2 linked regions of the Xenopus tropicalis genome follow. The protein of the gene in region 2 interacts with the protein of the main gene of each other region in a biochemical or structural test. Links are inferred from orthologs where the notes say so. Each region holds a gene or a part of one and is shown on either strand. Other genes may lie near its edges. The genes, in order: lmnb1 and tmpo.

Region 1 (4,435 bases), on a different chromosome or scaffold from region 2:
TGATGAAACAGAGGTGATGTACGGTGGCTGGAAGGGTAGTGAAAAAGCAAAAGACTGTATCCAACTCATTTACATGGTAGAGCAACCTCCTTCATAGACTAAGATTAAGCACTAATACAATGAAAAGGATCGCTTTTTGCTGCATTAATATGTCTGGACAAGGGAAACAAATACCTGCCCAACACTGCAGCCTGACCCAAACCAACATATAATGAACCACTATAAACAGGGTGTCTGACTATTCAGTAGAAATATGCTGCCACAAAATGCTGCAAAGAGCGACTATGGAACTACTTGAATTTAAACATCACCAACCCTGGACTTCATAAAGTGGTGGAAGAATAACGGAAAATTAAAAAAAAGATTCTTTACATTCCTTGCTTAACCTATCTCCAGATGTCCTCTCAAAATCTAGAGAGATGTAAATTCTAAACTCATCATTATGGATTATAATAGGGGACCAGGATTTCCTAAAGGAACCTGGTGCCCCATTATTGTTAGTGAACCAATTTCTAATGACCGTAAAGTGTTAGACACTTTTTTTTTTTTTAAGAAATTGGAATCCCAGCCCAGCATTACCTAAAGGTTTGACATTTAAAGGACCTAAACTGTGTGCAGGTCACAGATGGTCAGACCTGTCAGTCAAGCTGTGCTGGGACACAGTGATCCTCCTATAGGCTCCAGTACAAACCTAAACAGCACTCCAGTCTACTGAAGGATTGCACCAGCCTAGCCCAGTGAGTGACAGATCTGACTCTTTACTTGTCAGACCATAGCTGGGGGCAGGGATGGCTGGAATAGGAATAGGTCAGTAAATAAGTAAATCCCGACATATGATCCAGCAATATAGCATCGGTAGTATCCGCCTGCCCGTTTATATTCTGCTAATTTTTCAGGAATCAGAACCTGAGATACATTTAAACTGAATTTACATTTTAAATGAATTAAACATTCAATCTTTTAAAAGTTGGGTCATAATGGAAAGGTGCTTAGAATTACAAAAAAAAAAAAAAAAAAAAAAAGGCTTTGGGGGGACATCTCCCATAAGCTAAAGGAATTAGTTGAAAGGCAAAAGTGAGCAATTACTTTATCATCTACAATTTAAAGATACTTCTGTAGAACTCGGCAATCAAAAGGCATTTGAAAGTTGTTTCTTTAAGTCATGCATTAAGAACTTAATATGCATCACTTGCGGAAGTCTATACATGAAATTAGCGCCAAAAGGAAGCCAGCAGCTTTGCACCGCAGGAAGGAAATTAAATATGTTAGGGTTTTGCAGAGTGAAGTTGTTTTCTGGCTCGCAATGAATGAATCACGGCAGATTAAGGGGATCAAATTCACGCCACTAAGAGAATGGCACAAAACCGACAACATGAACGAAACACAGAACAAGCAAGATAAAGTGGGAAATCTCACTATTACACTGAAAATGGTTGCTCCCCTGCCACTCCCATGTGCATATTTTACTGTAGGATAACCAATCGTAAGGGACGACAGTCTGCCAAGAGGAGCTAAGAAACAGCCCCTCCCTCATTAACAGACACCTGCTCAAAGGAGGATGTTCCAGAGGATTTTAAAGGCCACCCCCTTTGAGCTAAAATTTGTTGGTAAGCGGGAGAATGAATAATGGGCGTTTACTACAACCAAGATTAACCCCAAACACCAAGTGACTGCAGAATTTCCAGAGCACATATTTGATATGGGCATCTAGATCTATGCAACCCAGGCTGAAAATACTTTGCAGTTCCTCCCATCCGTCTCTAATGAGCAAGGGGACAACAGACACTAACCTGGATTTTAGCACAAGATCTACAATTAAAGGGGATGTAAAGCCAAACATATTGGACTTAAAGATAATTCTATACAAATATACATTCATTACAAAATTCCACTGATCTTACAGAAACCATTAAGTGTAATTGGAACTGAAAGAGTTCCCTTCTGTACATTGCTAGTGCTTTTGAAAAAATCTAGCAGAAGCCAGCCTTGCCATCTTCTTCCCAACTGGCTTCTGCTACATTGTTCCCAATGTCAGTGTCACTAGGGCAGAGAATAGTAAAGGACAGCACTTTCAATAAGAGTTATAGTTGCACATAGCTTTTACTGCCCCTTGGGTAGCTGCAGAAGAAAACGATTAGATACAGAATTATGCCCATCACTCAGCCACAGGGAAGGTTGTTATGTCCATGGACTAGCCTGGAGAGGGTTCTGGCAGGGCACTGATTGCCAGGGCAGCAGGAGCCAAGCTAACTAGCCCTGTCTTTTGATTACATTGCCTTCCCCCATATGGAACCGTGTCTTTGTACACTGCGGGTATAGGGCAGGGAATTCCAGCCGGCAGAACTATAACAAAAGCGAGGAGGGGGGTGATGGGAGTTGTAGTTCCACAGCAGGACCTGGTACTGACCTGGCACGGAGATCCTCATGTTCCACGGAGATCTTACTGAGCTCCAGCTGCAGGCGGGCTCTCTCCCGGGCAGTGTCATCCAGGCTCCTGCGGGCATCGGCCAGCTCGGTCTCATACAGCTCCTTGATGCCGCTCACTTCCCGGCTCCGCACCTCTTCCCGCTCGGTGACCTGTACATGGAGCAGGCTATTCTCGCTCTCCAGGCTGCGCACCTTGTCTATATACACGGCCAAGCGGTCATTCAGCTCCTGCAGATCCACTTTCTCCTGCAGGCGGCTGATACGAGTCGGGCTGAGCGGGGTGTTCATGCTGCTTCGACGGCCGGAGCTCCTGGGGCCGCTTGGCGTGGCGGTGGCCATTGCACAGTTGGCTTCTTCTAATGGTTATATAAAAGAGCGACGGTACCGGTTCTCAGGCTAAACTCTCCTTTATACTTGACGGCCGACACACACTCACCGCCGCACTGCCTGCAAACTTTCCCCTCCTGGGCACTCCACCCGTAGTAGCACACGCAGTCTAAAATACAAGTACTTTTTAAAATTGAAAAACCCCGCAAGGATTAAAATGTAAAATGTGCATACAATCGAATGGGTAATTTTGCAGCGAATCCCCCGCACATGCACTCGCACAGCACCTCCCCCACTCAGCGCCTCACACACTGCCACAGGCTCGGCCTCAATATGGCGCCAGAAAGGTCACGTGCTGCGCCCCGCCAATCACACAGCAGGACGCGCCCACTTTGTTTCCCTGAGACTAAATTCAAATTGAACATGATAATAGGGAAGGGAGGGTGCGGTGTATGTGATGGGGGTGAGGCGCTGCACACAATGGGCGAGGGAGCTGCACCGCCGCCTGTTTAATACGACTGATATCCCTCTGCTTCATACTGCGCGATCTAGGGTTAGCGTTCTTTTGTAGTGACCACATAGTCGTCAGTCGCTGTTTGAGAGCCCTATAGCGCTCGCAAAATTACCCCCGCCCTCAGTGGCCTGTTACTGTACTATATATACAGTTTGTTAGGAACATTCACTAGTAAAAAAAAACGTATTAATATATAGTAAAGCAGTAAGATATTTAAAAATCCATTGGGTTCAATAAAGACAATCATGGTGGATGTGTCTTTTGTGACCCTTTTATAAAAACCATAACTGCTCAAAATAACAATAACATTCTGAGTGGGCCGGGCTTGTCCGTTGCTGTGACAGGGCCCCAGCCCCTAAAGCAAAATAGCTTTGAGAAAGGAATGTATCTTCCATGGTCGTGTTACAGTGCTGGGGAGCCAGTAGATGTTTAATGACACTACCTGTTGTTTTACTCTCTGGTGTAGACTGGTTTCACTCAATGTCACTGTAGTCCCCATCCTTTATAAGTGTCCTTAATTTTATTTCACACCAACATATGCTATAGTGCCTTACATAGTCTACATGGCTCCCATCAGTCCCTTCCCCAACGGAGTTTACAATCCTATGGTCCTTATTGTAAACACTGAAAAACAAATACCCAAAAAGAAAGTTTTTGAGGGAGGAATAATCCCCCCCAAAATCATAGAGCTTGCCACAGCAGGCATAGCAACAACATGCATAAAAATATAACTTTTATTATCATTAACTAAAAAGAAACCAAAGCACGCAGAATACTAAAGTTAAATTATGTACCAGACTCCCCAATCACATAAAGAGCTATTTTACATTTATCCAAAGAACAGCTTCTGACAACATGATCTCAAACAATTTAGGCACAATCACACAACAAGATAAAATATATTTTAAATAAATCTCTGCCATAACGTCCTTGCTGTGAATACATACATAACATCCTGAAAATATGAAGTTCCGGATATGTAATATACAGTATGACGGTTGGTTACATTACCAAATTTGCATTAGAAGGAACATAACCACCCTACACGATAATCTCATTCAGCACCTGGGATTTGTAGTTAGATTTCGGGACAATAGCTCATGGCAGTCCAATGTGCATTTGTTGTATTCTGGTAACAACACTGGTCATGTAGTGCAGTATTTGTTG
Region 2 (4,469 bases):
AAATATTTTTGTAGTAAAGATTGCCTTTTTGAAAATTTTAATTAATATTTGTGATAATTTGTGCAAAGCTATGCAGTCTTTTTTGGGGTTCTGAAAGGGAGCTTAAAGTACAAGCTGATTCAGTAGCACTATTTAATAACAATCTGGCCCCTAAACATGAAAAGAGCAGATAATTCTGTCCAATAAATTAAGATACATTACAAATTAGATTTTATATCATGATTACAACATACAGCTTTTTGATTTATATCAAATGTATGTTTACTATGGCTTTATCACCTTTTTAGCTCTAAAGGTCCCCATACACGGACCAATAGTAGCTGCCGATATCGGTCCCTTGGACCAATTCGGCAGCTAATCGGCCCGTGTATGGGCACTCCCGACGGGCCTGCCCGACCGATATCTGGCCTGAAATCAGCCAGATCTCGATCGGCCAGGTTAGAAAATCTAGTTGGATCGGGGACCACATCGGATCGTTGATGTGGCCCCCGGACTGACTTTGTCTATGCCCGCCATTATAATTCGTTTGTTGGCCCCAGGGCCAAATGATCGAATTACCCTGGATTCTCCCGATATCGCCCACCCGTAGGTGGGGGATATCGGGAGAAGATCTGTTCGCTTGGCGACATCGGGCCAAAAATAATGAGGGTTTTTATAAAGACTGGGCAAATTTGCACCTGGGCAGTAACCTATAGTAAACAATCAGTTATTAGCTTTTTTTCATCCAGCAACAAATTCAGCAATAAAAGCAAATACCTGATTGGTTGCCATGGTTACTGCCCAGGTGCAAATTTGCCCAGTCATTATAAATTACCCCTATTGTGCTTTTGACTGCTGGGTCACCTCCATACTACAGGTCTGAGGCACTGCACCCAGACTATTGGAACAGAGTGGTGAATGGCCATGCGAGCATATTTTTTTTTATGAACAGTTACAGAAGGGCTCGCCTTCAGTGAAGGATCAGGGACAAGGCACTCGGGCCAACCTTGCAAAGTGGTGAGCGTAGTTTTTTTGAAGAGTCTCATTTTAAATTGGTTTTGACAATTTACCAGAAAAAAAAGTACTCAATAGTGGTTGGAGCAGAATATATATTTGTTGTACCCTGTGTAAATGCACATCAAGTTTCAATATGATAAGTGAAGTTTGACTTCACAGTTTTAATACATATTAACCCAGTTTTTCAGTATTCAAACTATCACAACATACAATTATAAGCGAACAAAAAACCCACATTTCTACAAATACGTTTCACATAAGACATTATCAGATCACTAACAACATAAATCCCATGTACCAGGATAAAAGTTTGAAGTACCCCATTCTTTGATAAGCTTATTTGCCTCATTATGGTGCTCAGAACATTGTATACATCTACACTAATGCCAACCATACATGACACTTTACATGAGACTGGCCAGTTTGTCAAAGTATTAGTGTCAGTACTGAGTGCATATTTAAAGAAGTGTCTGGCTTCATTTCGCGATTGTTCTTATCAATAGACATTTGATAAGATCAGGACACTAAACATATATAACTGTTTTATAAGAAACCAGTATGTGCCTGATTATTTAGGCTATGGACGTACATGTCTGACAAGCACCGGACACTGTTAAAACAACCAGAGACATGAGTACCCCTCTGTACATGCCAATGCTATATTGAGTTCCTCTGCCTTTAATATTTCATCCACTGTTTAACTGTTAATAATGAAAGAAAATGCACTTCTTTAAGCACCATATACAGCAACATTTGTTTGTTGATAGTCAGGCTGTTTAGAGTGAAGACACATGGAGCTACTAGTAGCAGCTACTTAAATAGACAATGCTGATCATTTACTGATAATTGTTTCAACATGTGTTTTAGCAGAGGCAATTCTCAGTATAATCCATGGCAGGGGATTTTTTGGCGTTTAGTAGCAGTGAAAAAGTAGCTGCTACTAGTAACTCAGTGTGTCTTCACCCTTATATCCCTTGCAAAACCAACTGTGCCCTCTGAAACAATGTAACAAACTAGGTGATACAGACCTGGGGAACTAGCTTTGGCTACACCGTTTCAAGCCAGATAAAAAATATATATCTTTTTAACTTCCAAGGGTACCGATTATTGATGCGACTAAGGATACCTGGCACAATATTGCAGCAGCGCAGAAATGAGTTGCATATAGAGACAGTGATATAAAGGTTGTCTTAGATAAAGGAAACGCGTTCCAAATCATAACACAGCCACTTCATTTATTAGGATGATGACTTCACGGGAAGGTTTTGGCATAAAAACTACCCGGGTGGAAAAAAGCGGGAAGAATAAAGAGATGTGTGGGCAGTAGGGGGCGCTCGGTCACGGCAGGCGGCGGGAAACCCAATCCGGGGATTCTCATTAGCTTGATTGTAAACTAAACATTACCTCGGCCACAAAATAAAATGGCAATCTGGCCATTTACTCGCCCGAACAAACCCCTCTAAAGTGCAGTCCTTCCTCCCTGCTTGGCGTTACAGCTTCTAACAGCTTGCTGCGAATGATGGGAATAGCGCCCAGCACCTAGCCTGAGACACTTGATAGAAGCCAAACTGTATGCCGGCTAACAGAACTGCGAGCTCCAGCCCCATTTATTTACCAAGAGGCAGCCATTGTGCCTAGCGCACCTGTCCCTCTTGCGGCCCCTGAGGCTTTGGAACAGATTCAGTGATAGAGTTGTACAGGTGATAGAGTTGCAGAAGTGCCAGAGCGGTCACACGGGGCACAATGGGCTTCACTTTAGCTTCTTACCCTTCCCGGGGGGCGGCCTCTGCCTCTCACAGGGGTGGCCTCCCTCTCCTCGTCACTGGAGAAGTCTGGGGTGCTGCGGTTCTGGGAGGTGAGGTGCTGGAGGTACAGTTGCACGTACACATCTTTCCGCTGCTCCCCGCTCGGCAAAGTCACGTTGTTCGCCACCAACTCGCTCTTGAGCTTATCCTTAGTGAGTACTGACGGGTCTTGCAGAAACTCTGGCATGGTGCAGCGCTGCCGTCTCCCCTCAATGTAGAACCCCTATCACGGCGAACACAAAACAATGAGAGGAGCTTCCAATGAACAGGATGAGAGGGGGGAATCAAAACGGAAACAGTCTGCTCAGTGGCAACGGTCGCACTACATTCGACGATGTAGCGCAACAAAGCGCGCCGCCATTGGCTGGCGGACAAACCAAAAGAACAAATCATTGGCTGGGGACTTTCTTTAAAAAACAATCGACAGCGCGGCCTTTCACAGCACAGTGTGAGCTGAGATAGGGTGGGGGGGATTGAGGGCCCGCCTTTATGTGAATGGCTCCGCTAGGTGCTTCCTAAGCACCATTACAACTCGTATAGGCAACTAGCTCATGTTAACGAGCGTTAGGGCAGTGTTTGCCATGTTTTATTTACATGTTTAGAAACATTTATTTCATGTTTAACTTGTTTTTAAAGACCTAGAGGTGGGCGTTGAAAGTACGCTTTCTGTATTTGCTGATGGTACTAAATTCCTATGTAGGATGCTGTCACTTTGCAGGTAGATGTGACAGATTTGGAAAACAGGATCAAAATGGAAAACCAGGTTCAGTGCTGATAAATGCAAAGTTATGCACTTGGTACATAGTGTAGTTGTGTGTTGGTAGATTCTTTATAGAGAAGGTGATTTTTTTAAAGGAGATAAAGTGCTGTCTTGCATTAAAAAGGCATTTACTCAAAGTATTAAACATTATTTTGCCTCTTTATAGGTTTCCTAGGCCATACCTTGAATATGCATGAAAAGGCATTTTATTGGCAATAGATTAGCCACAAGTGTGCAAGCTAGAACACTGTATTTATTCTGCAGAAAGCTACAGTACCTGAGTAAACAGCTCTAGAACCCTAGAACCCCCCTCTGTTTTAGCTTGGTCTTAACTTCTGTGTTGCAGCTTTGGCTGCTGGTAACAGCACAGTTGGAGTGAGAGATAATAGGAGGGGAACAGGAGAAGAGAATAGGAGAAATAAGAAAATTGAGCAGACTCAGGCCGTGGCCTGAAGGATTTTTCTGAGAGAAGGAAGTCTGATACTGAAGAATGTTTGTACACAAAAGTAGAAATTAAATCCTCTGTTTCTTTTGATAGAGGACTCAGTGTAGCTTTTCTGTGGCTGCATTTACATAGACCTTGCTTAATTAGCTGTTGCCTTTCATTCTCCTTAGAGAAGGATATTAATGAGCTGGAGAGAGTGCAAGGATGTGCAACTAAACTGGTAAAAGGGTTGAAAGATTTAAACTATGAGGTTAGACTATCAAGGTAGGATTAGTGTTCTCTGGAAAAAAGGCACTTGCAAGGGGACATGATTACTCTATACAAGTACATTAGAGGGGATTATAGACAGATAGCAAGGGGATCTTTTTTTCCCATAAAAACAATCAATGCACCAGAAGCCACCTGTTATATTAGAGGAACAAAACTTTCATTTGAAGCAGTGTAGGTGGGTTTCACGGTGAGG

Evidence for each region.
Region 1: the proteins of tmpo (region 2) and lmnb1 form a complex in vitro, tested with the Homo sapiens proteins (2 studies listed by BioGRID). The link is inferred for Xenopus tropicalis from reciprocal best matches to the Homo sapiens genes TMPO and LMNB1.

What each region holds. Positions count from the first base shown.
Region 1 is NC_030677.2:168,270,422-168,274,856, forward strand, and holds the start of lmnb1 (lamin-B1), read right to left. Parts: upstream 2,994-4,435; 5' UTR 2,767-2,993; coding exon 2,408-2,766; intron 1-2,407. UniProt on the Homo sapiens protein: Lamins are intermediate filament proteins that assemble into a filamentous meshwork, and which constitute the major components of the nuclear lamina, a fibrous layer on the nucleoplasmic side of the inner nuclear membrane.
Region 2 is NC_030679.2:51,508,511-51,512,979, reverse strand, and holds the start of tmpo (thymopoietin), read right to left. Parts: upstream 3,062-4,469; 5' UTR 2,989-3,061; coding exon 2,764-2,988; intron 1-2,763. UniProt on the Homo sapiens protein: May help direct the assembly of the nuclear lamina and thereby help maintain the structural organization of the nuclear envelope. Possible receptor for attachment of lamin filaments to the inner nuclear membrane.